Saccharomyces cerevisiae S288C: one gene and its partners. The protein of the gene in region 4 interacts with the protein of the main gene of each other region in a pairwise test. Each region holds a gene or a part of one and is shown on either strand. Other genes may lie near its edges.

Region 1 (8,097 bases), on a different chromosome or scaffold from region 4:
CTTTTGCTGTTACCGCCATTGGTAGTGTTGCCAGACATTCCAAAGGGAGATGGGCCTCTACCTTGATCTTGTGCCGCCGAGGAAGGCCCATTAGTACCACTCAAGTAATTGTTCTTGTTATATGGCTGCCGCTGCGATGAGCCAAACGATATTGAGCTCCTTTTATTGCCATTGTGAAAGGGATCCATTTGAAGGGCGTGTATTTGCTCCTATAATTCCTTTCCTTCTTGTTGTCTGTTGACCCTTTAGGTTGTATGCCACTCTCGAAAACCTAAAGAACTGATTACTAAATTATTTATACAAGATTTCAGATGACAAGATGGTTCACCCCTTGCCCCTGGTCTTCCTCCCAGTAATTATTCATATTCCATTTTTTTTCATAAACGCACGCTAAGGAAAAAGAAGAGACTGAAAATTCTTGCATATTAGAATATAAAATGATATATACTACATTTATATACATCCTTAAACTGTGAAAGAAAGAATAGCGATACAAATGTCTAGGCAGTCCCTAGGACAGTGCCGGAGTTGTCATTGTGGAGAGGCAATGGTGTTTCTGTGGACATTAACGGTTCGTAATCTTTAGTTCTGTCGATATCCTCATCTCTGTAATACTTAATTCCCCAAGGTATTAATCGAATTAAACCGTCTAAACTTTTTTCGATTTTGGTGATGATCCATCCTGGTGGAGTGATCTTGTTAAACCACGATTCCTTGTAGCCTATGGCGTAACCGACACATAAGCCGAAAAAATGACCCCAGAAACTGGAGCCAGGTATAACGACGGCAATTGCGACTAATAGTACTAGGGGTGTATATAATGTCGGAATTGAGTAGTCTGTGCGAAAGATCCTTGTTCTAGGGCGGATCTGTGATTCTTTAAAACTATAGTATGCGAATAAGGTGAAACACCACCCACTGGCGCCTGCAACTAATGCTTCTGGATATAGCAACTTACCCAACAAACAGTACAGAATTCCGGCAAATAGAGCACTCAGGTTCAAAAAAACACCTGTGTACACAGTCCCATGCGTTTCTTCGAAGAGATTCAAGGGTGCCCAGATGGCTAGCACATTGAACAGTAAATGAGGCAATGATAGGTGAATTAAAGGATAAAGCGATAGCCTGCTCATTTGCAGTTTGAACAATGACTCTGGCGCCAACGACAGGTCTTCCCTTAGGGCAAAAATAAAACTTAACAGGTAAATAGCGGTTAGAAATACCACAAGGCCTGTGGTCAACGCAGCTGGTGGATGACCACCGGGAAAAACGTACGACTTCCAATTCATAGCACGACCAAATAGCACAACCTAACAACCAGAGTGAATTGCTGTTCTCAGTGCTTCCAATTAAGCCTTTCCCATCCCCCTATTCTTCTTGTATCGATGCAGTTCAAAAAAAAAAAAAAAAAGAGGCTTTAGATCTCAAAGGGCCGAAAAAAGTGAAAAATTTTCTCGAGAAATCATAAAAGCAGCCATCGCCATATATAAACAATCTATGCATATGTATGCAGCATGGCATCGCATCTTTCTTGGCGACCCGGTAGTAGCATTTAACTTCCATTAGAACCATATAAAATGCATGGGCCTACTTCAAAAGCTATTTCCCGCAATGTGAGAAGCGTGAAGAGACCAAGAAGAGCACCTAGGCCCGTGGTCTCCACGCAGGCTATGAACAAGTTGTCTAACGTAACACTCTCTGCTGAACAAGAAAAGTTGAGAGAGCGCGTTTTGTCGTTCATGCGTTCCAACTTATCTCAGTACAAGTCTGACTGGAAACATCCGGCCATGTTTGTAATCCAAGGGGACGCAGGTACAGGCAAGTCTGTGATTCTAAACTCCTTGTTCAATGAAATTCAGAAACTATCCCAGTTCTCACCTTCTTCTGAAGATATCTTACATGGGACACATAATTATCTGGTAGTCAACCATCCCGAGATGTTAAAGTTATATATCCGGATTAGTGACAGTTTCAAATATATTTCTAAATCGTCACTAGAACGGCCCACTTCGTTGATCAACAATCTACAGAAGAGAAAAGTCATGGCCGATGTAGTCATTGTAGATGAAGCACATTTGTTGGCCACTTCTAAGGATGCTTTCAAAAGATTTTATGGCGAAAACCATCTCAAAGACTTAATGTCCCTTTGTAAAGTGCTTGTATTGGTTTACGATGATAAGCAAGCTTTAAGAATGGGTTCCTATTGGGATGAAGGTTCTAATAACGGTGCCACTTTAAAGGACTTTTACAACGAGATTCCACCAAAATCCAGAGACTGGTACACTTTAAAACAGCAGTTTAGGGTTGCTGCCCCACAAAACGTGTTGAACTGGATTGACCAAATTAGTGTCGCAGGTAAAATCCCACCAATTGAATCTGTGCTATCTAAGGGCAATGCAGATTGTGCTGACGATAAAATTAAGAATTTTGATTTCAAAATTTGGGATGATTGTGGCGCCATGTACGAGGCAATCAAGGAGAAAGACCGTCAATACGGCCAATGTAGGATGCTATCTACTTACGATTTTCCCTATCGCTTGGACGGAAAAGACTATTACGTTGAATGTGGTGACAATTTCAAAGTTCGCTGGGATCGCTATACTCCACGTGAAGTGACGCCTTGGAGTGAGCGTTGCGACACGATTGATGAGGTAGGTAGTGTGTATACTATCCAAGGGTTTGATCTGAATTATGCTGGTGTAATTTTGGGCCGTTCCATTGGGTATGATGCGGCTAATGACTGCATCAAACTAAGACCAGAGCTGTATGACGATAGGGCCGGTTTCACCAAAAAGAAAAACATTCACAATGCAGAGGACGTTAAGCAAAAGATTATTATGAATAGCATTAATGTCCTCTTAACTCGTGGCGTGCGTGGTCTGTATGTTTATGCATACGATCCTGAATTAAGAGAGAGACTGCTTCGTCCATCAAAAAAATAGGAAGTACATAGTATAGACAAATTTTATAAATATTAACTTTTATTTGTTGCGATCTTCACTAATCTACGCAGATTTTGCCTTCGGTATATTAGCCTTCTTCTTGTTGAGTGCTTCCCAAGTGATTCCACCAAATACTATAAACATCCCCACCCATTGCTGGAAACGTACACTCTTACCGAAGACAATAATACTCAAAATCATCGAGACCATTTTCCTGGTGACTGTTATCATGATCAAAACTAAAGAGCCAAATTGTTCTAGAGTATAGAAAATAAAGCATTGTCCCATAGCGCCACAGAACGAATAAAGCATTAAATAGCCCCACACTTGTGGGTCCATCGTCAATACAGAAACGGCATTATCCCATTGTTTGCAGTCGATCACAATAAAATACAAAATATTCCACAATATCACGAAGAGGTTCAGTGTAAACATCAAGTGTGCACCTGTTATCAAAGTTTGTTTTCCCTTTTCTTTGGCCTTATTGGCCTTTAGTAGCTTATCTTGGGTGGCGTTGGTCAATCCATCAAGGAATAAACTAGAGAAAAGTAGTCCAAACCCTTGTAATTTGTTATCATTTCCGCTCTCATTAAAGGATCTCTTCAACTTTTTACCATCGTTGCCACCTATAGTGAAAATAGTGACACCGAGACTTACCAAGAGAGCTACAACTTTTTTTTGGCTTGCTATGGGCGTCCTATACAAAAGCAAATGCACCAACAACACGGGGATCATCTTGCATGACTTTGCTAACATGTAAGTGAGATAATCCACGTGCTTTAAAGAAGTTGTAGCCAGCGGGCCTGAACTACTCTGTGTAAATGATATCAACATCAATTGTTTCCAATGATCTTTAATCATTTTTCTGGGCGGATATTCCACCTTCTTCCAGTTTAAGTACAGGTAGCCCATCATCATTGCCACAGAAGCTTGTATGAGGGATATTACATTAGGGAATTGAAACTTTCCCATGGAGTTTGGCCAGGTTCTTGTAGCCAAAGGCTCCTGTACTAATGCCCACGTCAAAAAAGTAGCATATATACCAATCGCACAGATCACCAAACTGGATGTACTTCCCGCCATACAAATATACGAATACTGCCTTGTTTACTTCTTCTTGTTACGTTGTAATTCTGGTTCTAATTACATTGCTGTCATTTTTTCATGTTCGATGGGATCTACAAAACAACCTTTAGAAGCGATCTCAGGGAAGCTTTGGAAGAGAAACAGCTGATGATTCTGGCATTCCACAAACTACAACAACGAACCAAACGACATATTCCATTGCAGTGATTTGATTGGGAGTAAGCTTTTATAAACGAGCAGACCAATATGATTTACGTAGTATTTCGTTGTCTTTACCACATCGTTGTTCGTGATAAGTTCTGAAAATTTTTTTTGGAGTATATTTGCTAGAGTTAATCCAACAATATTAGCATAAACGAGCAGCTGGAGACTAGGTTATTTGAATTATTTGAGCATCAAAGTGATCAATTGTATTATATTACAGTGTAATTTTCTTTTTTTCCATATTGAATCAAAAACTAGCCACGCTTGAAACTAAAGATGGTTGCCTATTCTCCAATCATTGCCACCTATGGTAATCGTGCAGAACAGTTTTTAGAAACAGACTCAGACTTCGCTAAGTATCATGCGAAATTGAATAAAAAGTTGCAACACTTGAGGAGCCGTTGCCATTTGGTCACCAAGGATACAAAGAAATACTCAAGTAAAAATAAGTATGGCGAAATTAACTCCGAGGATTATGATAATAAAACTAAATTGATTGGTGTTTTGATTTTACTACACGCTGAAAGGGACTTGGCACTGGCTGAAACTTTGAAATTGAGAGCTCGTCAAAGAGGAAAGTTAAAGAAAAGTGAAGAAAAGGTTTTATCCACAAGATTGAAGAAGGCCTGCAAGACTGCTGATAAATTGGTTAACGTCACTCAAAATGAACAGCAATGGATAACTCGTGCCCAATATTTAGCGTTCGCTAAATTGGTACATTCAGAGTACCTAATTAATGGAAAAAGGTTCAAGAGGAAGGACAATGCCAAAATTTCGAACAACCTAGCCCTCGTTTTCGCCGCATTGGAACACTTGAAGAATCTAAGCTTATTAGCTGAAGAAGTTGTAGATAACATTGTTAATAAATACCAGTACTCTCTCAAGCAGTACGCGGGAAATTTAATTACAACGCCCGAAATAAATAACTTTATCGTGGAAAGAGTTCAATCTGATGAGAACAAGGACGATGAGCTTGTGAAATTGTTATTAGACAATGGATTCAATATGAAAAAAATTACAACCTCAACTGAAGATCAAAAGGTTACCACTAACATAAACTGGAGATCTTTCAACGCCAAGATAATCGATGCTGAAGTTGCTCAATTTTTGGAACAAGGTCTATCTATCCACCCAACTCAGATTACTCAATATACACAGAGGCTATCAAAATTGGAGAAAGCTTTAGACCGTCATGAATTTTTCATCGCAAACCACGACGATCAAGATGACATAGACGAGATGGTTGAAAATAGTTCTGAAAACAATCAGATAATTTTAGCCTACATTAAATATAATATTCTTTTGACCTCTATATCTCGTGAAAGAGATTTGTTTACTCATTTATGGAATCAATGGCTGAAATTAAATACTTCATTACCATCGAAGTTAACCAAATATAAAGAAATGGAACGTATTGTGAAGAATTTGACAAAATATTTATCGGACATAATGGAGCTACCTGGTGTGTATTCAGATGACGAGCTGCTAAGCCAATTAGACTTATGCAAGCTGTATTTCCAGTTATTTCTGAATACGGGCTGCCTGAGTGTTTTATATCAGTCGAAAGGCAGATATATGGAGGCGTTAGCTCTATATGTGGACGCTTACCGAAGATTAGAAAACAAATTATCTGAAATTGAATCTCTAGACGAAATCTTACTTCCAGCAAATCTTTTGTCATTGAATTCTGTCCGAAGCTTACAAAAGAGAATCGAAAACGGTGGTAATAGTGTCATTACTTTGGCGGAATACGAAAAAAGAAATCATGGTGGCAGCTTAGGGAAATATGATTTGACAGTGATTGAAAAATTGGATAGTAAAAAAATACTGCCAACGGACATACAATTGAAAAATTTATTCCCTCTCAAGCCAAAAATGCTGCCCATTCCTAGTAAACCAACACTTTTTGATTTGGCCTTCAACTACATAACATATGATAAGCAAGAGCCCTCAGCTTCTCAAGTGAAAGATTCAGTCACAGAAACCGAGAGCATCTCTCAAACACCAATTTCTAATGAGCAGACGGAAGGAGAGCCTAAAAAGAAGCGTGGTTTCTTGGGCCTATTTGGTCGTTAATATTTTTCTAGTATGACTGTATTTATAGTACTATATAGATTATTCCATTTAAACAAATGATGATTGCCAACTATAGTAGCCAAATAACGAAGTGCATTACTTAACACATCTTATTTTTATCTACTGAAGATATCGCCAAATTACAGCACATGCTAAAAAGAAGATGTTTAGGGTCCTTTACATAACTATACGTTAAATTATTTTTGCTGCTGAAAATAAGGAAAATAAAAACAAAGATAAAAATAGAAAGAATGGGAAAATTTAGTAACAGCTTTTGCCCAATATGCTCAAAACCGAGTTATCTATTACAAAGCGTTCCTTTTATAGAAAAAACTGACAATCAAATGTAGTAATTGGCTATTGTTAACAACAACGTTGGAATGGAATAATTTCCACGTCTCGATTTTTGGTTCAACTTGAGTCTTTATCAAGTCTTTAAATGAGAAAGAATCGACATCATCCGAGTATCGTTTATCGGGCCCTTTTCTTTTGTCAATCATTTGAATACCGAATCTAGAACCATCCGATGTGGAAATTTTGAATATTATATCTGGGAATTTAGGACCGCTCGAACCAAAGACTTTTACAGTCAGTTCAGCTAGTTTTTCACCCCTGATGGTTTTAAGCACTCCTCTTTCATACAACTGCTTTGTGTTCCATTTAAACTTCATTCCCTGCAATTCAGAACGTTCTCTTCCTTGAACTTTTTTTACTGCATTCTTAAAATTTCCAAATTTACTTTTGTGCACCGGCGAAAAATCCTTGGCTTTCTGGAAGTCTTTTATCGTATGATCAACATGTTTTTTAAGCCTTGATAATTCTATATCTAAGCTGTGGTTCATTTCCGAAATTTTTGTGAGTGTTTCCTTTGTGATGTAAATTTCCTGGGTTACATAATCAATGGCATAGTTGGGATTTTTAATAGTGTTCGCAATATCGTTTAAGAAATTTTGTAACTTATTATCAGAAGAGCAAAAAGTCCCCGTACTTTCTAGTTCATGTATTTTTTTCAAAGTAACATTTTTGAGTGTGAAGTATTTCAATGGTTTCAGCTTCTGTATCATTGGATCATCCCTGATTTTAGGATTTTGCTCCAGAAAATTTGCAAAATTTGGTTCATCTTGAGGTAGAATTGTACTAATTGAAAGGTCATACAAATTGGTATCTACATCCTCAATTTGCATCATGTACACAAATGCCCTTTTAACTTGGTCGTAGATTTTTCTCATCTTGTCATCACTAACGAGGAATCGATATGCAGATGCATCCAATTCCAAGGTAACACGTCCTGATCTTGGAAAGGATGAATTGTCCAAGTTCTTTTCCAAAATATCATGCAAAATATCTGCTTCCGGAAATTCATTTAAATACTCTTCAAATTTACCACTGATTTCCAGAACCTTTTCAGTTAACAATTCCAATTTGGGGCTTGGCGATACCATATCCAAATAAATCAATCTATCTCCCTCTTGTTCATACTCTGGATCTACTAACACATTATAAAGGACATCTTTGATATGAGGCTTTATTTCGTTAGCGTACTGGTTCAATGGATCCAAAAAGCCATCAAAATTTTTGATTTCAAAAACAGTCGCCAAGGATTTCATTAGAATGTCAATTTTTTGGTTATTTTTTTGAACGTTGCTGTCTTTGTATCCGTAATATTCCCGGTTGACCAAATATTCAGACACAAAAACGTTCACTAGAATACTTGATATGGCCCTTAAAGAGTCAATCTCCTCAATATTCTTATCTGCCGCGTAGCAGAAGATTTTAGTGCAGAGGTACC
Region 2 (8,286 bases), on a different chromosome or scaffold from region 4:
ACGGTTTGTTTCTCACACCATTTGTCATCAAAGCTGGATGGCGTCCTATTCTTTGTGTGGGTCTTTCTTCCTGGCTATTCTTTTCCTTGTTAATATTATCCTTTTCCTGTGTGCTTTTGATCATTTTCTTTGATTCTTCTTCCTTGTTATCCATAGATGTGTCATGGACAATCATTTCACCGTCAACGGACGGGTCATAAAGCACTATGGCAAATTCGTCTGTAGGGTCATGTAGAGGTCGAGGTTCTGGAGTAATTTTTTTTTTCATTCCTAACGTTAATGGCAGACTGTGTCTTTGTACATATCCCTTGATTGGCACAGTGAAAGATCTTCTCAAAGTGTACTGGATATGACTCAGTCTTGTCGGATCCTTGGCCAACCTTTGAGCACTAAGAGCATCCTTCCGTCGTTTAGTCAACTGAGAAAAACTTATGTCTTGGCTGTTGTACTCTGCTTCGTCCGCATTTATATCCAAGCCGGAATAACATACAGTCGCTGATCTTTTCCTCAAGCTCCTTCCTCCTACGATATTATCAGACCCGGTGGCGATTCTACCAGCAGCGGGCGGGATGTGCGTGTTCTTGTACGGGACCCTGAACGGTTTCGTTAGTCGGTTCACCGAGTCTTGTACGTTAATAGGCCTAGGTACCAGTCTCGGCCGTTCACCGGCTCCTATTCCATTTGGTGGTCTGTCTGGTAATCTGCGTCTTGCCATCAGTTATAAGGAAATATATATGGTACCTTGAAATAGAGCTAAGTTCTGAGCGTTTGATTTTTCTATACTTTCGTAGCAGCTTTAGTGAAGAAAGAGAAAAGTTGCTGCTCTAGATTTTGTATCGGCTATTACGTCAAGTGAGAAGAGTTTTGGCCTTCGCTTCAGTTAGATCTTCTATTATTTCCTTTTTTTTCTTTTTGTTTGTAATTGTTTTTTATTTTTTTTTTTGCGCGAAACTTTGCTATATTGGGTAACGCGTAAAATACTTTTTATTATTGCAGTAAGGCGGAAGGGTCTTCCCCTTTGCATGTTAAATAGCATACATGGCACCACTCAGGTCCAGAACGTGACACATCTTTGCACCACTTGTGTATTTTCAAGATGTTAAATTTTTGATACATAAGCTTTATCATGCAGGTGCAGTAGACGCATTTGCGTACGCGTTGAGTAGTAATGCAAGAACGCAACAATTTCACGCTTTCTACTTAAGAGGACAGATCTTCGAGCAGAATATTTTTCTCCTAGCGCGGCTTTCAGAATCTTCTTACCATCTGCAGGACATCACATGCAAGCACATGAAGCTGGAACCACGCACCATTAAATGTAAACCTACAGACATAGCTAGCACAGAAATGCTACTTTGGAAACCTCGGTTGCATCGGCTGACCTCGGCTGTTCAGCAACGTGAGCTGGTTGTTGTTATTGTTCATAGAATCCTGTATTTTACCAGTGTAGCTTTGTCCGCCCACCCCACGCTTTTGGCCACTAGTATGTACGTATATGCGTGGGCTCTATATCATTGAAAACGAATTTTCCACGCAAAACCCACTTCACACCATAAAGGCCTTATGACGATGTACATTCTTCCCCTCCCCCCTCCTCCCGAAGGAACCCTTATAGTGATCCTAATACGGTATAACGTAAACCGGAGTTGTCAGCAGAGAGAAGCGAATAATATGTTTTGCGTGGGGTTCCCACGAGCGGCAGGAACCGTAGCGCATTGAAAAATGAATCATCGATCATCTTTGGGTTTCAAGGGTTCGGACTTCGCCAAAGGTCCGAATACTTCCACCAGTATTTCTCTTTTTCCCTTTCCAGTCTCGTTCTTCGCCGAATCCCCGCTTTCCCATCATGATCGTTTCTCTGTTTCTCTCTTTCCGGAACAGGCTCTTTTCTGACCGCCAGTTCGTGCGGTTAGTTCTGTGGATCTTGCAGGCACTTGCCGGTTTAGCCACACTTCTCCGCTGTTTGTGTCGAATTTCCCTCGAGTATGAGAAAGACTGGACCACAAAAGAGGGAAAAAAAATGGGCCGATTTTAAACCATTATAGGTCACAGAAAAACTTTCTTACGACGGTGGTTTTTCAACAATACGTTTCTTGAGCAGGAGAGGAGCTTTGTTCTTTTGCCTTAGTTTTTTTTGTCTTTTTTTGTGAGCCATCCTGCTGTCGTTGCCATACATGACAGATCCACATTTGCCTTGTTGTTTTTAGTTTTTGTTCCTTGCACCATATAAAAGCGTCACTTGTATTTTCCTTACTCATCTAAACTTCAAGCTTTTTCGTCATAGTAGGTTTGTGATCTCGGCAAAGAAAAAAAATTTTTTTGCCGATCTTTCTGGTTATTGTTTCAGGTATCTTTATGAAAGTATTAGTGTACGCACTGGATTTTTGGTAGGTCTATAAAAGTGCAACACATAATCTAAATCATTGAGGTCATCGTATGTCAAAAGAAGATGTCCACAAGCATTACAGTAAGAAATAGAGATCGATCGCTACCACCGCTATTGCTCCCCAATGTTTCCCTGCTAGAAAAAGATATACGGCGTAAAGGCACCCAAAATGTGGGCATCACCGATCCAGAACTCTTGTCGACCACTTGGACGAGGAAGCGGGCTTTTCCGACTGACGAGCTTTTAGGAGGCTATAAGAGATTAAAGCCTGCTGCCGCTGACAGTAATGAGTGCGCTATTGGTATTGCCACGGTGACGCCGCCGCCAACGCTCCCCGTAAGTGCGATTGTTCCCCCTCCACAAAATTACACTCCACCATTGTTTGAGTATCATCCTCATGCTCTTGCTTCCATGGTCAATGAAGACGCTAATGCGTCATGCACTCAAATGTCTATAATTTCGCGCTCAACGAGCAACTCGACAACCTCCTCTGCCACATCTACTAGTTCAATTTCCAAGAGACAAAGAAGTGGCCCAAGTTGTGACAAATGTCGTTTGAAAAAAATAAAATGTAATGCGAAAATTGAGATTTTGCTTCAAGACGATACTATAATGCCAATGATCTCGAACAAGTTGCGGTACGTCTTGACTCCTGACGATATTCGGCTATATCGAGGCACGCTGTTGCGGAATATTGCCATACCGGATGATGTCATTGAGGGTACAGGCTCACGCAAGTTGATTAAGCATATTGATAAGTTGGTTTTGCTCACACCTTGTTTACCATGCATTAAGAAAAAGCATTCTTCTTCTTCCACTAATTTCCCAAAAAATGATAAATGTACTTTTTCAAAAGGCTTTACCAGAGCTGACATAAACATTTCATCCAAAATCTCCTTAAAATTTAAGGATAAAACCATTTACGACATAACCTATGATGACTATAAAAGCATTGATTTTTAGACAAAGGCATCTCTAATGAATAGCATCACAAAACTTGCATTTAGCATTAACATATATGGATATATATGTACACACAGAAAACGTATAAACACTCATGTATAACCCTACATAATAAGAGTATACAATGATACTAGTCATAAAAAGTATTGTGTGTATAGACGTGCGCATATTTTCAAAATATTATAAACCTGAACAATAGACAGAATAAAGTATGCAGCGCAACGACAACGATGATGGACAGCGAAAATTTCCCGTTCGATTGTGTCTCCGTATTATTATTACTCGATATTTGAGAATTCAAGAAATAAGACGACTGTGCCCACCCAAGAGCCACAATTGCCCATTGAATTGCTTGAACAGTCCTCAGGCGCTTGGACATATCCAATATATTCAATATAACACAAACGGGTATCCAGATCAAGTTAGCGTACCCGTAAACGGAAATCAATTCAGGAACACTTTTGAAGCTTCTATTGCGCTCCGAGTGCTCATCTCTATTCAATACTTGCATGGTAATAAATGGTACGCCGAACGTGTACCCGTAAAATAGCCAAATAGAATGCAGTAGCTTCTTAAACTGACTGGCCCTGTCGATGTCCTCACCAGTCTTGACGCCCTCAATTACGTCACTGATAATAAAATTTAACCCCCTACTCATGGTAAAATTGATCATTACCACCGTGGCAGTGATCCATACAGCACCGTATAAATCAGTGTTATCTTCGTTACTTTCGGAATTATGATCGTTTCTAAACGTCAGTACCGCGGACAATCTCTTTTTGAACTGCGTCAAATCGATCTGGAAGTATTTAGAATAGTAGTTTATCAATCCTGGCCTCAATCCATTACGCCCAAGACCGTCGTTGTCATTCTGTCCTATCACTTGGTCGTACGCTGGTGGGTCCATTTGACCCTGTAATGGTGCGGATTCTGCCTTACTGCCCGTTGTGTTATAAAATTCGCTACCCTTTCCAGCAGTCGAGTTATTCATGTTTGGGCTATCAGGTACGGTGGCATCATCAAATGGGTTGGGCTCGTTGCCAAAATCATCTACACCCTCGAGATCATCGTCAATATCTAAAAAACTGCTATTATTGGACGGCATTTTTCTGCTTTTGTCGAGTCAATCCTATTTGCTAGTATACAATCGTGGATGAAGCGTAAAAAAGAACTACAGAACCAATGCGTTTGGATCCAATGTGGTCGCTGCCCTTGGCCCCTTTTACCTTGAGCGTAGGACGTTGATACATTTTCACTGCTTGAGAAATTAGGTATAATACACAGCCGGGTAAATAGCGTTTAATTGATCGCTGCTCCGTAATACCGATATACTGTTACGTTATGTATTGAAAATACAGTTTAACTATTATTTGTAGGGATACTACTATGGGGTCTCAACCGCACTTAAAGGCGCTAAAATATTTTGACTTTTCCTTCCTTATATTGTAGACGTGTTATTTAAAAACTACATTTTCCATATCTCGTCGCCAGAAACTTCTAATTTGGTAAGCCTTCCAATAAATATGAAAGAATCCCCTCTCATAACGTTGGTTAAAAGACATTCCGAGACACATTTTGCCAATATCAAGTATGGGTATTATGTGTTGATAATATCATTGGTCTATCTCATTGGATTGGCTCTTTTGAGAGCTTTCGGAAGGAGAACCCCATCCAGATCGTCGTCAGCTTTCAAAAATAAGATAATTTATCGGTTGTATGATATAGATCCTGCAATTCACTTAGGTATATTGTTTTTTGCAGTCTTGATTCCATTTTATTACCATTACTCTTTGACTACCCAATCTACGGTCTATCTCAAAAGATTAGGGAGGTTGAGTTACGCCTTGATCCCGCTGAACCTATTCCTCACTTTAAGGCCTAATTGGTTCCTTAGGAAAAATTGCACCTACACTGATTTTATACCGTTCCATAAATGGTTTTCACGTATTATCACCGTGATTGGTTTGCTTCATGGGATTTTCTTCATCATTAAGTGGGCGATAGACGATAATGTCTCTCTAAAGCAAAAATTGATTCTGAAAACTTTCAATTTTGCGGGATTCATAATATCAATATTGGTACTTTTTTTACTTATTTGCTCGATTGGGCCAATGAGAAGATACAACTATCGTTTGTTTTACATCGTACATAACCTGGTGAACGTGGCCTTCATCTTACTCACCCCAATACACTCTAGGCCAGGTGTTAAGTTCCCATTTCTTCTACTAAACTGTACCCTATTATTCATTCATATTATCAATAGAATAGTATTTGCGAAATCCTTGATGATTTTGAATAAGAATGCGAATTATTCAAAAACAAATTTAGTCCATGTAAGATTGCCCAGGGCTATTCTTCCAGATTATTTTGAACCAGGGTCGCATATTAGAATAAGCCCTTACAGAAGAATTAATCCCCTCTATTGGTTGCTACCATCGCATCCATACACAATTGCGTCTTTGGCAGAAGACAATTCAATTGATCTTATTATAAAGGAAACCTCTACAGCCGAGCCAGGTAGCCAGATAGAGTCTCTTCGTAGTAATCCAAAATCCTTTCATTTAGATCAAGAAAAAACCTATACTTTGATTAATAGTTATCCTCCCTCTGTACCCGAAGAATGTTATTCTCAAGGCACGAATATAGCTATTATATGTGGTGGGTCTGGTATATCTTTTGCCCTACCACTATTTAGGCATTTTTTTAACAAGGAGAATGTAAAATACTTGAAAATGATCTGGCTGATAAAAGATTACTCTGAATATGAACTTGTTTTGGATTATCTCAAGACAAATGGGTTGACTTTTGAGAAAAAACTCTCGAATAATAAGAGGATTTCAGTATTTATTAGTGGAGAATACACGGCGGAAACACGGTTAGACGAAATTACGACCAATATCGACGATGAAAACTCAGAATATGAAATGGGATCTTTCAACAATGAAGACGAAGACCTTTCGATTTCTAATTTCAATTCAGAAAATGCGGACAGCAATGACAATACGCCAGAGACAAGTCATAGCCCCACAAAAGAGAATGGAAGCATGATCGAGGTAAAATCCAAACACAGTTTTACTCTTTCCAACGAATTGAAGAGCTTCAACAATGAAAGTGCACAAGTGAACCAAAATGAAACATGGTTGTTTTCATGTGGTCCTCCCTCGTTATTACAATTGTCTAAAAAATATTGTAACGATGAAAGGATCAACTTTGTCTGTGAGACTTACGGATTATGAGGGGAAAAGAAAAGAATAATAATGTCTTACGCAATATGCTCGGAAATGATATTCCACGACATTAGATGCTAATTTATAGTATATAGAAAACAAAAAATACATATCTGTTTTTTAATGACCTTTAGTTTATATGCTTTCTTGCGCGGCTATTAGAATACACTTGACAGGTTGTACGCATTATTAATCGGTAAATGGAGATATATTAGAGATGATCGTTTTAAAATGGAGGCTGTCTGCAAAAAAATTGGGAGCTACATTAGCAAAAAGCTTCTTTTCTTGTTGTTCTCGGTTTATATTTCAAGAGGGCAGTAGGAAAAAGGATCGAAAAGCTCGGCCTGTGGCCATGTCCTCTAAAAATCAAATATAATTTACTGGCCAACGTTATCGGCTCTTTTTGATATCTATCATCTCTTTAGCTATTGTTATCTGGCAACTGATTCAACTGATATGAACAATTCCATAATTACTGATGATGAGGTTAGAGAGTTTTACTTAAACTGCTCTTCTCAAACAATTATTGAATCTCTTCTCAGCTTGCACGAGTCATTGAGATTATATTCTCAAAACCATGAGATACTGCTCAATAGGATGTTCAAAAAATTGGATGAAACCAATGCAGACTCTAACATATCCCATATATTCATGCCTGTTGTGAGCAAGGATTTTTCAGGAATAAAAATTCTTGTGAATAACAACAACAAAAATTTTCAAGGTGTGATAAATGTTATTGAGCCTGAAACAGGAAAATTAATCGGATGTTTTGAGGCTAAACAAATTACCGCTATAAGAACTGCCCTTGCATCGTGTATCGGTTTATATAAGCAACTCTCATGTTCCCATGATAAGTTGTTTAGATTTGAAAATGGCACTTGCTATTTAACATGTTTTGGTACCGGTCTCCAAGCATTTTGGCACATATACATAGCTATTAAACTAATCATGTCAGGGATTGTTGGCGAATCTTTGAAGTTAGTTGAAATAAACATACTATATCACAATAACATGATGAGTTTGGATCGTTTGAAATCATTGAAAAACTTATTTGGAAGTAATATAAAGATAGAGCTTAATCAGTATCAAATAAACGACATCAGTTCAGAAGGTAATGGCGCTGTTTCTAACAGTGATATTATCTTTGGTTGTCTACCTACTCTAGAGCCCAACTTGTTTTTGAGGCAGTTGCTAAACAGTAAAGCTTCTGTGGAGCAGAAACATACTTATATCTCATTAATTGGAAGTTACAAACCAGTGATGCACGAATGCGATAAGGAGTTGATTGATAAGTTCAAATCTGATAATGAAAGCGCTTGCATTTTGGTAGATTCAAGGGAACATACTTTATTGGAATCTGGAGAATTAATCGATTCCAATATCGCTCCACATAATCTCATCGAAATTGGTGAATTAGATACTTTGAAAAACACAGTTTTGAATTTGAACGAAAAGGGCTGCAAAAGAACTATCACCTTGTGTAAAATTGTTGGTCTAGCGGTTATGGACGTGGCGCTTGCTAAGGAATTCTTAAGCTTGAGAACAAAAAACACAGAAAACAAGGAATAAATTGCATCTTGGCTTCTAGTTTTTTTATATTCAAAAGGGTTCTTAAGTGTTTTTAAATATGATACTTTTTTTAATATCTTACGATCCGGAAGAGATTTTTGATGTTTACATATGAGCAGTTTGATAGAAATTTTGCAATTT
Region 3 (8,631 bases), on a different chromosome or scaffold from region 4:
TCTACTTTCACTCTAGGAAATGTCGGTGGATACAATGGAAGGGTGCTAAAACTTGGAGACGTACTATTCTTACCAAGCAATGAAGAAAATAAATCAGTTGAGTGCCTTCCACAGAATATTCCTCAATCATTAATTCCTCAAATTTCCGAAACTAAGGAATGGAGAATTGGTGTAACATGTGGTCCCCATGGGTCTCCAGATTTTTTTAAACCTGAGTCCATCGAAGAATTTTTCAGTGAGAAGTGGAAGGTTCATTACAACTCCAATAGATTTGGTGTCCGTTTGATTGGACCTAAACCTAAGTGGGCAAGAAGTAATGGTGGTGAAGGTGGTATGCATCCTTCAAACACTCACGATTACGTTTATTCTCTGGGTGCAATTAATTTCACGGGTGATGAGCCAGTTATTATTACTTGCGATGGTCCTTCCTTAGGTGGTTTTGTGTGTCAAGCTGTTGTCCCAGAAGCAGAACTGTGGAAGGTTGGACAGGTTAAACCCGGTGATTCCATTCAGTTTGTGCCACTTTCTTACGAAAGCTCGAGATCCTTAAAGGAATCTCAGGATGTTGCAATTAAATCATTGGATGGTACTAAGTTAAGGCGCTTAGACTCTGTTTCAATTTTACCATCATTCGAAACGCCTATTCTTGCACAAATGGAAAAAGTGAATGAGCTTTCACCAAAGGTTGTATACAGACAAGCAGGTGATCGTTATGTTTTGGTGGAATACGGTGATAATGAAATGAATTTTAATATTTCCTATAGAATTGAATGCCTGATCTCCCTTGTGAAAAAGAATAAGACTATTGGTATTGTTGAAATGTCCCAAGGTGTTAGATCTGTATTGATAGAATTTGATGGTTACAAAGTCACTCAAAAAGAATTGCTTAAAGTATTGGTGGCATATGAAACAGAAATCCAGTTTGATGAAAATTGGAAGATAACTTCTAATATAATAAGATTACCGATGGCTTTCGAAGACTCGAAGACTTTGGCATGTGTTCAAAGGTATCAAGAAACAATTCGTTCGTCTGCTCCATGGTTGCCAAATAACGTTGATTTCATTGCCAATGTAAATGGAATTTCAAGGAATGAAGTTTATGATATGTTGTATTCTGCCAGATTTATGGTTTTAGGTTTAGGTGATGTCTTCCTAGGGTCGCCTTGTGCTGTTCCATTAGATCCTCGTCACAGATTTTTGGGAAGCAAGTACAACCCAAGTAGAACATATACAGAAAGAGGTGCAGTCGGTATTGGCGGTATGTATATGTGCATATATGCTGCTAACAGTCCTGGTGGGTACCAATTAGTGGGTAGAACAATACCAATTTGGGACAAACTATGTCTGGCCGCATCTTCTGAGGTTCCGTGGTTGATGAACCCATTTGACCAAGTCGAATTTTACCCAGTTTCTGAAGAAGATTTGGATAAAATGACTGAAGATTGTGATAATGGTGTTTATAAAGTCAATATCGAAAAGAGTGTTTTTGATCATCAAGAATACTTGAGATGGATCAACGCAAACAAAGATTCCATCACAGCATTCCAGGAGGGCCAGCTTGGTGAAAGAGCAGAGGAATTTGCCAAATTGATTCAAAATGCAAACTCTGAACTAAAAGAAAGTGTCACAGTCAAACCTGACGAGGAAGAAGACTTCCCAGAAGGTGCAGAAATTGTATATTCTGAGTATTCTGGGCGTTTTTGGAAATCCATAGCATCTGTTGGAGATGTTATTGAAGCAGGTCAAGGGCTACTAATTATTGAAGCCATGAAAGCGGAAATGATTATATCCGCTCCTAAATCGGGTAAGATTATCAAGATTTGCCATGGCAATGGTGATATGGTTGATTCTGGTGACATAGTGGCCGTCATAGAGACATTGGCATGAATTACCTTTTGTTGGCATCTAAAATCAAAGGAGCACTCATTTAGTCTTTATAGCATGCCTTTTTCTAGCTATTTTTAATGACGAATATATATGTACATAGTATTTACTGTAAAATGTATGAAAAGAAGCTTAAAATTATTACGTGTGTTTGTTATGTTCTCAATTTGCTGAACCACTGCTATCAATTATTAGGGGCACAGAACTATCTTTGGACCGTCTTTGACTGTCTGGCTCTGATGTGCTAGAGTTGAGTTCAGAAGTATGATGTTTGAGATCGAGCGATGCCTTGGCAATGCTTAATCTTTTCATAATACGTTTCTTTTGCCAGCTAATAGGTAGATATGGGATATATCCGTATTTTTCTTCTATCATTAGCAGTTTCAAAGCGCATATTAATACCAACCAGTAGGCGTTGTAGCTAATTACAGAGCCGACGGTAGCACTATTCGTCCAACCAAAAATGGCAGTAAAAATCATCCAACCTCCATCTTTTTCACCATTGCAACAATTAACATGCCAAACAGAACGAGATATGTCGTACGAACCGGGTCCATTTCCTACTTCACTCATGTCTTGACCGTTACATTTGTTGACGTAGTCTTGCAATTCAAGTTGCCATACACCTTTGGAAAACAAACCAGCCGCGATCAAGTAGAGGAAGCAGGTGGCGACTACAAGGCATATCTTAAGTGAAAGAGAACTTGAGTACCTGAAGAAAAAAATACCGAACACCGTACTGATTGCAGTAGCAAGGACCATAGAGAGGGGAATCGAGGATAGTGGTTGGTCAATACCGATACCTCCAATGAATACAACAGCTTCTAACCCTTCTCTCAAAGTCGTTATAAATGGTAATATGAAGAAGGAGTACTTTTCACTGAATTTCACACCTTTTTGGGTTTTGTTTCCCAGCAAATTATTGTCCTTTGAATAAATGATAGAAGCTAATTTCACTCTGAACTTCTCTCTTAACTTCCCCATTCTTAAAAAAAACAACCCCATGACAGAAATAATAACGGACGCGACAAGACTTAAGACACCTTCATAATAATGTTCACTCAGTGTCCATAAGTCGGTTCCAATATGATAAAAGATACTAACAAACGCACCCCCGATTAACATACACAGCAACAAACCAAATGCGCCGCCCGCTAGAATTTGTATTTTTAATTTCTGATATAGCTTAACGTTGTCAGCCGTATGTTCATCGGACTCGCGGTCCTGGTCTCTAAGCTCATTAGAGTACTCGTAAATTTCTTCTTCTTCCTCCACATTTAGCGGCCTCGATTTATTATTAGCAGCCGTAGCGGACGTTCCAATAGCATTACCGTCTGAAGGCCCTGCTTGTAAGAAGGCAGTGGTCGAATCTGCGTTTGTGTTCGTATTTGGACTTGGAAGACCAGCAGAAGAGGAACTTCCTTCAAACGGGCTGTCGTCCTCAACAGACAGACCTTGTTTGACGATCGTCAACAGGATAGAAACAATGACAACAATTTCTAAGGATTCCCTTAAGAAAATGAAGAATATCTGGAAAGAAAAATAATCCTCAAACGCCATGGTGACTAGAAATATGAACACCACTCTAGTTCTCTATTCTTAGAGTTTTTTCGCTTTTCTGTAGAGGACAAAAGTTCAGTAAGATGCTTGATTCTTTATAATATCAAGTTTGTGTTTTTGTAGGCTGGTTTAGATACAATTTTGCTTTTCTCTCTTCATCTCCGGCCGCACCGCACCCATTTTTGAACCCAAGAAGGCACTAGAATAAAGTGAGGTGGCTACTACATTGAATTATGTGTATATAGATAGATACATGTTGACGTTTTAGCACCTGTTTTGACGGAGCAGGCGCTATTTGTAGTTTGGTTTTTAAATTCCTGGTGGAAGCTTGTAATTTCCTGCTGAAAAGTACTTTCTAGTACAGAAGTAGTCAGGAGTCCAGGTGACGTCCTTGCTAGGTTCGCAGATACACTTGTTTTGTAGTCTAATCTTCTGTTCGATAGGACAAGAGGTGAAATCTGGATGATGGAATCCAAGACCGTCAAAGAAATGGATTTCTGACTTGTCCAAGAACAAAGAGGCAGCGATGGAGTGCACTGGCGCATCCCCCCATCTTTCGTAGAAGAATCCACCAGAACTGTCTAAGTAATCAAAGTATTCTCTGTATGCATCGGACCTGAAGAAGTCTAAAGAGCCGATTTCGAAGTTGGTCCAGAAATGACACATATTATAAGTGTCACCATCATCATTCGAAATGAATTTCATGAGGTTATTTTTGTGTAAGAATTTAGGATTTTTCTTGATGAATTTCTTTGTCGTTTCCCACAAGGTTGGGATTGTGCGCTCATATTCACTTACCGAAAGAATGAATCCATATTTCTTGTTATTTACTTTTAAAAACTTGAATATGTCATACTGAATATCACAGAATAAAGTGATATCGGTATCCACTCTCCAAAACCATTCGTACTCCTCCAGTAGTGGGTGTCTCCATATGAACCCTGACTGGAAACGGCACATGTGACGGTAAGGCACGGAACTACCATATGGAATATCCAATTTTCCCATTGCAAGCCTTTTCTCATCGAATTTTTCAGTATCGATCCAAGATGGAATGGACCAATGGTCCTTTGGGATTGTCCCATATTTTGCCTTGCCTGAAACCAATGCACTGGTAACACGTTTAAACTCATCACTAAATGGTTGGTCATTCAAGAACACCCAATCGTAGTGATATCTGTTATTGAACCTGTCTTCAACATGTCTAATAGATTTTACCAAGTTCCATAAATCTGAATTCCTGGCCAATGTGACCATAACACCCTTTTCCTTCTTTCCATCGTCCACGGGATGGATTACTCCTTGTGACTTGTCAGTAAACGGCATCAAATAATCCTTACTGGCTACACGACTGACACTGGTGCCCTGAGCTATTGGTACCTCTGGGGACCTTGAGCCACTCATGAAAAATAAAAAGGATAACACTATGATGAGCCCAATGAATGATGATCTGATTCCCTTTTGGTATTTTCTAATCAGCAATGCCGATTTGGGCATTAGCTTCTTTTTGTGGTGCACAGACATAATTGCACGCTGGATATTGATAGTGTTGTTGTCCGCAGACGAGGCCTGACCTTCTTTATGCAAATTTTAACCATCAGTTACGTTGTTTTCTTCGAAAAGTTTCAAGAGGACGCGCCATTCTTTTAACCCGGCAATTTTAAAGGGTTCATTAATAAAGAACTACCAAGATGGTACAGTCGCATTTGGATCGTAACTCAACGTTAGAAGAAAGCCTTAAACCGAGAACTTTTTCTCTTGGTAATGAATATGGCAGAACGTGCAGAAGCAACAAAAAGTTGGTCCTGTGAGCCCCTTTCTGGAAAGACGCTAGAAGAGATTGTTCAAAATGCAGAAAATGCAGCTGATTTGGTAGCTTACATTCGCAAACCAGAGGTAGATTTGGACTTTAGGTTGAAGTTTATCGCAGAACATGAGGAGTTTTTTAATGTACAACTATCGGATCGAAATTCAAGAATAAGGACGTGTCACAACTTGAGCGATAAAGGGATACGGGGTGATACTGTTTTCGTCTTCGTGCCTGGGTTGGCTGGCAACTTAGAACAATTTGAACCCTTACTCGAGCTTGTGGACTCTGATCAAAAGGCATTTTTGACGTTAGATCTGCCCGGCTTTGGTCATAGTTCAGAATGGAGCGACTACCCCATGCTGAAAGTGGTGGAACTTATTTTCGTTCTTGTATGTGACGTCTTAAGAAAATGGTCTACAGCGGTGCCGAATAATGATAACGTAAATCCATTTAACGGTCATAAGATAGTGCTTGTAGGGCATTCTATGGGTTGTTTTCTGGCATGTCATCTTTACGAGCAGCACATGGCTGATACAAAAGCGGTACAAACGCTAGTTTTGTTGACGCCCCCCAAAGCACATATCGAGCAGCTTTCTAAGGATAAACATATTATCCAGTGGGCTCTCTATGGTGTGTTTAAATTGCCATGGCTATTTGACGTTTATAGAAACAAATTCGATCAGGTAAAAGGTCTACAAAGTTCCGGCATCAAGCAGTATTTTTATCAACAAGGTGATGATGTCAAGTTGAAATACAGGAAGTTCTGGCAATTTAAAAACAACATAAGCAACAAAAGTAGAACCATCATAGGTTATTTACTAGGATGGGAAACTGTTGATTGGGTTAAATTCAATGGTGTATTGACGCAAACGGATATGAAACAGAAAATTATAATATTTGGCGCTGAAAAAGATCCTATAGCTCCTATTGAAAATTTGGAATTTTACAAACAAACTATAAATAAAGAATGTCTTCGTAAAGTGATTATTTTACCTGACTGTTCTCATAATTTATGCTTCGACCGTCCAGAATTGGTGTGTGAAAACTTTCAACGAGAGGTGATTGATAATTCCAAATTGTAGAAGGTTTTCTAGATTTCACATTGCGTAACTAGATTTTCGTGCACACTGCTACATGAATTGATAAAACAAACCAGAAAAAGTAACTAAGACCAATATTTTCAAATTTTTCATAGTATACTTTATATCGTACATCTTACAAGCAAAAATCAAAGGTAGTGTCTATGTATGCAAAAAAATAGGAAACGAAAAATAAATATAAATAAATAAAGCCATGAAATGTAGAAAGGCTATGCAAAAAAGAAAAAAATAAACATCAATAATATTTGGCCAAATAAATTAACAGAACGTATGCTGTTAAAAGAGAGCAGTCGTTATATGATGCTTTCAGCATAGTAGTTATTTTCGCCAACATTTCTCCTTAGATCAACTCTCCTCAACTCCTTTAACCTACTAATCAAATTGTGTGTAATACTGTCTATTCTCAAAGTTGGTTTTCCAACTTTCATTTTGTCCATATCAATGTCATCATCCACACATAATTTAACCACTAAAGAAACATAATCTTTGGAAACTTTTGTGAGCCAAAATGAAGTTGGCTTTTCTGTTTTTAATATTGTCAACCTGAATTGTAAAGATTCTGCTTCGAGATTGGAATCAGAAGTAGCATCAGCCTCAGATCCGGCCCCATATCTAATATCAAATAAGTTTGATATTTCGAGAATATCCGGGTCTCGGCAACAATAGTTTTTTATATATAGCTTTTCGGACTTGATATTAAAAAGCTCTTCTAATCCTAAATCATCTAAATTTGAAAGATGATCCATAACCATCAATGCGACAAATTCATGCAATTTGGCATTACAAGCCCAGGAAAAATTTCTATCCAAGCCAGAGTCCCGGAAACTGAATAAGTGTCTTTCATAAGAGTTGTTTTCCATGGATTTATAATCCAAATGCTGGCGAAACGTCCTCATTACAAAATACTTTACCATATATTGCCTGCACCACACAATGTCATTCATTTTCACCTTAGTTAAGGAGCAGTAGCCACCTTTTTCTTCATTTCTATTGCAGATCATTTCAAAAATTTCAAAAGGGTTTAGCTTCTTTAATACGACGTTCTTATTGTTCAAGGTATTGTTGCGTCTGTGTTCCTCTCTTGTTTTCGTTTGTGCATCGATTGGAGGTGGGTAATCTGTCCAATTCGCCTGACCTCCAATCCAACTAGATGGATTGGTACCTAGGCTTGAAGAACGTGAGTGTTTCTTGCTTAACCCCTCATAATATTCATAACCTTTGCCAGAATCGGTCATATAGACAATTTCTAAATCTTTCTCAGGGCCTGCAGAAACACTAGACTCCTGGACAGCGGGCAACAGTGAAGATGTCATCCTTCTTCTTTCGGATCTTTGGTTGATTAATTTGAAATCGGTACAAATAACTAAATTGGAAAGGTTTAGTTCAACAAGGTTAGGACACAGGTTCAGCATATGTAAAATATAACCTAGGGGCAGATCTTTATAAGGAGCGTACTTTAAAAGAAATTTGTTGGCATACGGATGATGCGTACTAAATGGTTGTTCAATGCTAAATTTTAATGTCGAAGAACGATAATTGGATGGATGCCCCGAATCGTGCTTTAAAACTTTAAAGTCATCGTCAGACTTATCCTTCGAGTTCTTTAAATTAATCGTATTAGCTGTCCTTGCCTTTCTATTTCTTGAACTTAACCTCATTCTAAACCAGGAAGATGACGTAATGTCAGATATAGGTTTTGCTTTCTGAGGAGATGACCTTGTGGACTTCGCAGAAGCTTTTTTCAATGATCCAGCAGTGGAAACTCTTGACAGATTACTACCAGAAGAGATGTTACCATTGCTGGTATTAGACGTGGTTGAAGACAATGAGACATGGGAGGTGTTATAGATGGATGACATGATACTCGTCGTTATGGAAGCAACGGAACTATTGGAACGTTGTCTCCTTGTAGAGTGAACACCGGTGGAATTTCCAGAAGATGTAGAAGTGATAGAAGAAGAACGAGAAACCACTTTTTTCAGTTTAAAGCTGTTCAACAGAGGAGAGCTATAAAGGGGTTCATTTCTGTATCTCCAGTCTCTCCAACCAGCTAATGCCAAGTCTTCAACTTCACTGCCATTTGAAGCGTCGTCTTTGATTAATCCGCTATTGGCATCATCCTCGTTAGAAATGGTAGATGTTGGAGTAGCTGGAGGTAGATTCAAACTTGTGTTAGTAGATCTGCGGCGACGGCGTCTGTGACGCCTTGAGTGGCCATCATCGTCTAGGCCTTGAGAATCCTTCGAGTCTTGGCCTATAATTCCCGGCTTCAAGTGT
Region 4 (8,158 bases):
TGAAATCGATTAAGTTGATTTCATTCGTTAAAGCACCAGAAGATTGTTGTAACGGAGCAGAAACATGACTTGGATGTATCTGCGAAGCAGCGTTGGAGTCACCGTTTTTCAATAAGTTGAATTTTTCCAATAGTTGATTAACTGTATCATTAAACTTCAATAGATCCTGCACTAACGCATCGTCTTCCTGTTCTTCCTCAATGATCTTTTGAAATTTTGGTTGAGCTACCTTTAATGCACTGTGAAGTTCTTGTGTAGTTTCGTTATCCCAGTTTTGTGAGTCAGGTGATTCCAGCATTTCATTCAGCAAATCGGCTTTACGCTTCAATTTGTTCAATTCACTGGAAATAGCCTGTTTAGCTTGAACGGCATTGTCTTCTTTGAACCCTGCCATGATTTTCATTAATTTGTTAGCTTCCCTCAAATCTTCAGGTTTACCACGCCTGATCAATTCTTCGAGTTTTGCAGCTTGAGCAATTTCCTGCTCCTTTTGAATTTCACTAGCGGTCTTCAATTGATTACTAGGCTTCAAAACTGCTAGGTCGGATTCACTGATTTTGGGGAATGCATAACCCTTATATTTCAACAAACGGTGCATGTCTCTAATATAACCCATATCATTCTTGTAGCTTGAGTGTTTACAAATTGTTTGATACCATTCTTCAATAGCAGTTAAAATCAATCTCTGAATCTTAGAATAACGTAATGGTGGGTGACCTGGAAATCTCTTGACCAGTTCATTCAAAAATTCCTTTCTAGAAATTTGCAAGTGGAATGGGTATCCACAATTCTTGACAAGCACGTCTAATAGAGATAACGCGAATATTGCCACGTGCGATTCTCTATTGTTGATCAGTTTAGCAAGTGCAATGGCAGCATCCCTAGGGGCAGCGCCCTGTTTTTCATTAATGTAGTCAGCAATGTCAAGATTCAACGCCAAGTCTGGTTCAGCAAGTGACATTCTGCAAGCTCTTTGAATCTTCCTCAAAAGAGGATTGCCCAAGGCTTGAGGTTTCCTGACGGGCAACTCAGACAAATATATGCTATGTGAGTGCGGATGGGACATGATGCAGTATCACGATTAGCAATTCAGCTATGAGTTATGTTGCTCTTTGTTTTGTTTATGGAAATTGTCCTATGGTAAGTCTCTTTTTTTTGCAATCGTGATTACAGAAAAAAAACAGGGCGCTGGAAAAGTGAAGAATCCGAAATTTTTTTCGAAATCACCATTGTTTGTTTTGAGTAGATCAAAGTCTTGAAAGGTGCAGCAAGATATAGGATCTTGACCTGAAGAGTATTGATAACGAACTACATCACATATTGTATCAAATAATGAGTGCTGCCACTGCGACTGCTGCCCCTGTTCCTCCTCCTGTAGGGATATCCAATCTTCCCAACCAGCGTTATAAAATTGTTAATGAAGAAGGTGGTACATTCACCGTGATGTTATGTGGTGAGAGCGGATTGGGTAAAACTACATTTATTAATACCTTATTTCAGACTGTCTTGAAAAGGGCAGATGGTCAGCAACACCGCCAAGAACCCATCAGAAAGACTGTAGAAATCGACATCACAAGAGCTTTGCTGGAAGAGAAGCATTTCGAATTACGCGTTAATGTCATCGACACCCCAGGTTTTGGAGATAACGTGAATAACAACAAAGCCTGGCAACCATTGGTGGATTTTATTGATGATCAACACGATTCTTATATGCGTCAAGAGCAGCAACCGTACCGTACTAAGAAATTTGACTTGAGAGTTCATGCCGTTCTGTACTTCATCAGGCCCACTGGACATGGTTTAAAGCCAATTGACATTGAGACTATGAAGAGATTGTCAACCAGAGCCAATCTGATTCCAGTTATTGCGAAAGCTGATACATTGACTGCCCAAGAATTACAACAGTTCAAGTCCAGAATCAGGCAAGTAATAGAAGCTCAAGAAATTCGTATTTTCACGCCTCCATTAGACGCTGATTCTAAGGAAGATGCCAAAAGTGGCAGTAATCCAGATTCTGCCGCTGTTGAACATGCAAGACAGTTGATAGAAGCAATGCCATTTGCCATAGTAGGGTCTGAAAAAAAATTTGACAATGGGCAAGGCACTCAGGTAGTTGCAAGGAAGTATCCTTGGGGACTTGTGGAAATCGAAAACGATTCTCATTGTGATTTCCGTAAGCTCAGAGCCCTGTTACTGAGGACTTATCTATTAGATTTGATTTCTACCACCCAAGAAATGCATTACGAAACATACAGAAGATTAAGACTTGAGGGTCACGAGAACACCGGGGAGGGGAATGAAGATTTCACTCTTCCAGCAATTGCACCAGCAAGGAAATTGTCACACAATCCTAGATACAAAGAAGAAGAAAATGCATTGAAGAAGTATTTCACTGACCAAGTCAAAGCTGAGGAGCAAAGATTTAGACAATGGGAGCAAAACATTGTTAACGAAAGAATCAGACTGAACGGTGACTTGGAAGAAATTCAAGGAAAGGTAAAAAAACTAGAAGAGCAGGTCAAAAGCTTGCAAGTAAAAAAATCCCATTTAAAATGATGATTAATTAATGTCTTCCTCTTTGTCTCGTCAATTTCAACGCCTATCTCTTTGTCTCTTCTTTTGTCGCAGCAATACGCACATATATATATGTATCTTATAAAAATATTTCAAATATATCTCAAAAAACATAGAATACGTAACACAATCGAACAGTAAAAACAAAAATAAACCGGTTTTTTCACGTTACTCTTGGGCACTTAGGTACCGTTCTGCATCCAAAGCAGCAATGCATCCGGAACCAGCAGAAGTAACTGCTTGTCTATACCTAGAGTCCTGAACGTCACCTGCAGCAAAAAAACCTGGCACAGAAGTCAGAGACGATCCAGGCACAGTTTTTATATACCCCGTCTCTTCTTCATCTACTTGTCCTTTAACTATATCTGTGGCAGGGCTGTGACCTATTGCGTAAAATAGTCCATTTACTTCTAAATCGTTCTCCACATTACTTTTAGTATTCTTAATTCTCAACATATTCAATAACTTACCATCACCCTTAGCTTCTAATGCAACTGTGTTGAACAAAACAATGATGTTTGGATTTTTCTCAATTCGTCTCTGCATTATTACAGATGCACGAAAATGATCCTTTCTTACTAATATATATACTTTCGACGCATACTTCGTAAGAAATTCCGCTTCCTCACACGCAGAGTCACCACCACCAATAACGGCCAATGGCTTGTTTCTAAAGATAGGGACTGCACCATCACATACAGCACAGGCAGATATTCCCTGCTGCCAGTAGGTTTCCTCCCCTGGTAAATGCATTCTCTTAGCGGAAGCACCCGTGGCCAAGATTATAGCATCAGTGGTCACAGGCTCTGCATCCTCATTAAATTCGGTCCATAATCTGAATGGTTTTGAAGATAAATCGACTTTAGAGACAGTCTCGGTAATTATGTTAGTGCCAAACTTGGCAGATTGTTTCCTCATCCTCTCCATCAGTTCACTGCCACTCAACGATTCAGGAAACCCTGGGAAATTTTCGATATCGGTGGTTGTTGTCAATTGGCCACCAGCAGCAATTCCGTTGGCCATCATTCCCTCATATAATGTGGGCTTCATCTCTGCTCTTGCCAAGTATATAGCAGCGGTGTGGGCAGCGGGGCCAGAACCTATGATTGTAACCTTGTGATGAATCATCCTTGACAGCACGGACTTGCTGATGCCAACAAAATTCGTCCTGAATGGCGAAACTATATGTTTTATCATTGTTTATTTATATTAGAAACTGTGGAGTCCGTTTCGTTCTTCCTTTAATGTTGGACGATCCCCTAAAAGTTTTCATTGCGGTCAGCTCAAGGCATTCCCCATCGAGTGATTAATTAACAACGCGCCCGAGTTAAATGGGATAGTAGTAGTCGATGAGAAGAATAGTCGGTTGGATAGGGATGGTGAGCTATGCAACTCGTTTTGAAGGCTCTAGAAACTGTATGAGTATATCTTTGGTCATTTCTACGAGGCTGCTGTTAAGGATGATGTGATTGAGGAAGTACTCGAGCCCTCTCTGTCTTTTTGCCAGCCAGTCCTTGTTCAGATTCACTTCTTGATATTTCCAAGAACTGTACCACTGCACTGAAGGGGGAAGGTGTGGAATCTGCAAACAGTTAAGTTTCTCAGGTTTCGCTGTCTTGATTCTTGTGAGCAAATTCTCTCGTAATCTGACGAAATCGGAGTATCGTTTATAGGTTTGGATTTTATAGCTTTCCCTCTTGGCCGCAAAAGCCTTCAAGTTGGGTTCAAGAAATACGGTAATTCTCCAGACAGCAAACTTTGTTCCATGGTCGCCATTGACTATGGTGCAATCGCTGACATGAGCCTTTTGAAAACTAAAGTTTGCATTGATAGAACTGCTTCGTCTAGGTCTTGTTCTGGTAATTGTGGCACCGCAATCATTACTATGGCTAGTGCTATCATTGCTGTTTGACGCACTGATGGGTCCCTCATTTTCTTGTTGTGAGTCAATGTCGAGTTCAGGCTCCGTGGAGTCTTCGTCAAGTAGTTGGATGGGTTCGGGAGGTAGAAAGGATATCTTGTCGCTCATATCTTGCTGTTGTTTTAGTTGAAATGGAAGCTGCTATTAATATCCCGATAGATATCCGGTTACTCAAATGATTTTGGGACCGCTTTGCTCTCTTGGTGTCTATTTTAGTATCACTCACTCATCGCCCCCACTCGTTTCCCTTTTAATTTCAATTACCGTTGGGTTCTGTTAAAAAATAGCCAAATTGTCAACCATACAAGAGATGAATTAAAAGCGTGGATGACACCACAGGCAGAAAAAGTATATCCAACATTTTATTTAAAGCTGTTCTGTGTCTAAACAGAAGAGCATGTAAAAATTTATACACATATACAGCATCGGAATGAGGGAAATTTGTTCATATCGTCGTTGAGTATGGATTTTACTGGCTGGATCAGGCAAAAGTGGGGAATTTACCATCCAACCAGGTCCATGGATCATTAAATCTGATGTTGGCATTTAGTGCAGAAATATCCTTCAATTCTTGCTCCGTTAAAGTGAACTTTTTTTCGATTTCTAGGTTGCCAAGTAACCTTTCCTTCTTGGAAGATTTTGGAATGACGGCAATGCCTCTCTGAGTTGCCCATCTAAGCAATACTTGGGAAGTGGTACTGCCTGGATGGTTTTGTGAGACCTTCTTGATTACATCATTCTCGAACAGAGTTGGCGTGGTTTTTGCCAACTGTAAGTCCATCTCAATGAATGATTGAGGACCGAAGGAGGAGTAAGCAACTACTTGGATATCGTGTAATTTACAAAACTCAACTAGGTGTTCTTGAGTCAAATAAGGATGGTGTTCAATTTGCAAAGCCACGGGCTTGATTCTACAACCACGTAATAAATCTTGAATCAAGCTTCCCTGAAAGTTGGAAACACCAATAGACTTAATCAAGCCTTCATCAACACATTCTTCCAGAGCCCGGTACGTATCTATGATTGGTACATGTGCTTCGGTGATGTGACCTTTCTTCTCGTCATCTGCGCCCGTATAGAATCCTGGAGGGTATTTCTCTTCAAATGGAACATATTTGAAGGCGATTGGGAAGTGAATATAATACAGGTCTAAATAATCAAGTCCCATATCGCTTAAGGTCTTCTTTAAAGCTAATTTTACATGATCAGGATGGTGAAAATTGTTCCATAACTTTGAAACAACAAATATATCCTTTCTAGAAACAAGACCTTCGGAGATGGCTTTCCTGATACCTTCACCAACTTCCTTTTCGTTGCCGTAGTCGCAAGCACCATCGAATAAACGGTAGCCTAATTTGATAGCTTCATAAATTTGATTCGCACAGACTTTTTTGTCAATTTTCCAGCACCCTAAGCCGACTAGGGGCATTTTCAGACCGTTATTAAGAGTAACCAGTGAAGACATCTTTAAAAAATTTCCAATTTTCCTTTACGATTTATATTACAGTATTTTCCCAATCGTCTTGAAGGATTGCACTGACAACTATTTGCTTCTATATCCCTTATATACTTCAGTGTACCAGGAGTAATTTACTTGATAGGCCCCCTAGAAGTAGTAACTTCGAGGTTTTTTTTTTTTCCATAAAATTCTTCCGCATGTGGCTTTTCCCTTTTATGACGTATACGTTTACTACCAGCAACAATTGGGAAACAAGTATAGAATCTAGAGTTCCGATAATGAAATATTATAAAAGTTTTATTAAACAGTGAATGTGTAAAGAAAACAAACAACTATATGCTGAGGAGACTTCTAAATATATGCTGAGGAGTTTTCCTTGGGCTCCCTTTTAATCCAGTTTTTTTTTTCTTGTGCATGAGTGAAATTACAGTTACAAAAAATATCAAAACTTCTTGTAGTAATGCGCCCATTTCTTGATGAACACGGCATTTACAGTATCTGCGTCTACGAATTCATCATTGATGAATACTGGAATGCAAAATCTCTGGTCATTCACGTTACAAAGACTTCTTAAATCAGTGAATCCAAAGTGGTAATTTAACAATACATTTAATGCAAATGAAATCAAGATCTTGTAGTTTATTACCACTTTCTTCGAGCGGTAATATTCCCAATCCTTGTTAACAAACTCATCTTCGTTGATTGGGCTATTTTTGTAGCTCTGGGAATTGTTGACTACTATAATATCCATGATCCACATAAAAAGCTTATGATCAATACGTTCTAGGATGTTCCACCAGGTGGTAGAGTTTATACACTCCGTATTAAATTCATCCTTGAACTCCTCGTTTTGCGATAAATAACCGGCTACGACACCCTTACGTTCTAAAACCTTTGCATCGAACTTTTCTTTACAAAGATCATTAAAACACGTCATTTGTACTAAATTAACAATATTCCAAATCTCGTTTAGCCCCAGGTTCTGAAATGATTCACTCACCAAGAAATGATGGAAAAGGAGTTCATCACCGGTGACTATACCCTGTGATGAGATAGATTTTATCTTCAATAAAAGCATCAAATCAGGACATATATCATGTAAACCGCTCACTTTTCGCCTCAAACTTGTTTCGATTAGCTGCGATATTTCAATTTCCTTGTTTTTAGGAAAGTCTCCCATTTTTGTTAAAAGCTCCTGTAGCTCATGAAATGGTTGAATATAGTTTTTGGTAATAAACCTAGTCTTGCTCTGTAAAATTTCGCTGTAAATTGTTGACCTAGTTTCGTCACTAAATGGAGTGTCCCAAACCATTTTACTTAGGCTTTGTAAGGAGGAGTTTCTAGTTATATCTCTGTCCAATAATAACACATATTTTTGCCTATTTGTTTCATCTCTAATCAACTTTTCTTCTCTGTCTTTATTTTTTCCTAGTTGGTCAAGGGAAGCAACACTCATGCTTTTGTTAATTTGCCTTTCATGAAGCTTTTTTTCCTGGCGATCCTTGGGTGGTAACCAACTCGGTCTTGAATGGCTGACCACATCTAGTTTGTTCTCCGAGACAAGTATCAAATCTTCCATGCCTTGATTTTGAGCTTCTTTTAGTTCAATTGGCAAGAAATCGGAAGACTTTGTTCTTTCGGACAGCTTAGATCTTGAAAGCCTATTGGAAGAATGCAAATAAACAGAGGCTAGACTCTTGGTTGTGTCTTGAATGAACTGAAAATCAGTTACTTTGTTCAAACCTGGAATCGGAGACGTAGGCATCTCATTAAAGTCCAATAATGAGGCGTTTGATGTTGTACTCGCAAAAGAGATGTTCGAGTACCTATGATTTTGTTTTGTATAAGAAATTTCAGAGTTATCATTTACCAAACCTCCGGTATATTCTGATAAGTCATTCTTGCCAGCCAAGTTATTCATATCATCGGGCTTAGCAGACGCTAGAAATGAATTAGTAGATAATGATGCCATAGGAACGTTCCAAATCAACGAATCATCAACGTCTCCCTCTTGTAACTCAAGAATTTGTTCTTGACTATCATAAAATTTCTCTTTTCTTTTGATTGTATTTCTTAAATTCATCTCCGATTGCTCTTTACGAAGTCTGTATTTCTGAGACGGAGTTAATGGCTTGCAATTCAAAGGTTTCTGAGATGGAACGTTAAATTCTAATGACGAAGCCTCTATCCGATCACTTGAATTA

The links.
Region 1: the proteins of YPT35 (region 4) and RBD2 interact in a two-hybrid assay, tested with the Saccharomyces cerevisiae proteins (2 studies listed by BioGRID).
Region 2: the proteins of YPT35 (region 4) and YIP5 interact in a two-hybrid assay, tested with the Saccharomyces cerevisiae proteins (2 studies listed by BioGRID).
Region 3: the proteins of YPT35 (region 4) and KTR3 interact in a two-hybrid assay, tested with the Saccharomyces cerevisiae proteins (2 studies listed by BioGRID).

The regions. Positions count from the first base shown.
Region 1 is NC_001148.4:84,009-92,105, forward strand, and holds RBD2 (putative rhomboid protease RBD2), read right to left. Parts: upstream 1,290-8,097; coding exon 501-1,289; downstream 1-500. Other genes in the region: YPL247C (uncharacterized protein), read right to left, coding at 1-188; YPL245W (uncharacterized protein), read left to right, coding at 1,578-2,942; UDP-galactose transporter HUT1, read right to left, coding at 3,006-4,025; signal recognition particle subunit SRP68, read left to right, coding at 4,509-6,308; IQG1 (Iqg1p), read right to left, coding at 6,614-8,097. UniProt on the Saccharomyces cerevisiae protein: Probable rhomboid-type serine protease that catalyzes intramembrane proteolysis.
Region 2 is NC_001139.9:195,689-203,974, forward strand, and holds YIP5 (Yip5p), read right to left. Parts: upstream 4,455-8,286; coding exon 3,522-4,454; downstream 1-3,521. Other genes in the region: DNA-dependent ATPase RAD54, read right to left, coding at 1-715; SUT1 (Sut1p), read left to right, coding at 2,450-3,349; AIM14 (putative metalloreductase), read left to right, coding at 4,873-6,585; YGL159W (uncharacterized protein), read left to right, coding at 7,033-8,145. UniProt on the Saccharomyces cerevisiae protein: Possible role in vesicle-mediated transport. May be involved in proper membrane localization of Rab GTPases.
Region 3 is NC_001134.8:629,959-638,589, reverse strand, and holds KTR3 (mannosyltransferase KTR3), read right to left. Parts: upstream 4,969-8,631; coding exon 3,754-4,968; downstream 1-3,753. Other genes in the region: DUR12 (bifunctional urea carboxylase/allophanate hydrolase), read left to right, coding at 1-1,887; FTH1 (Fth1p), read right to left, coding at 2,047-3,444; LDH1 (triacylglycerol lipase), read left to right, coding at 5,209-6,336; COS111 (Cos111p), read right to left, coding at 6,648-8,631. UniProt on the Saccharomyces cerevisiae protein: Possible glycosyltransferase that transfers an alpha-D-mannosyl residue from GDP-mannose into lipid-linked oligosaccharide, forming an alpha-(1->2)-D-mannosyl-D-mannose linkage.
Region 4 is NC_001140.6:321,211-329,368, reverse strand, and holds YPT35 (Ypt35p), read right to left. Parts: upstream 4,604-8,158; coding exon 3,959-4,603; downstream 1-3,958. Other genes in the region: GGA2 (phosphatidylinositol 4-phosphate-binding protein), read right to left, coding at 1-1,066; septin CDC12, read left to right, coding at 1,333-2,556; thioredoxin-disulfide reductase TRR2, read right to left, coding at 2,743-3,771; GRE3 (trifunctional aldehyde reductase/xylose reductase/glucose 1-dehydrogenase (NADP(+))), read right to left, coding at 4,977-5,960; SBE22 (Sbe22p), read right to left, coding at 6,397-8,158.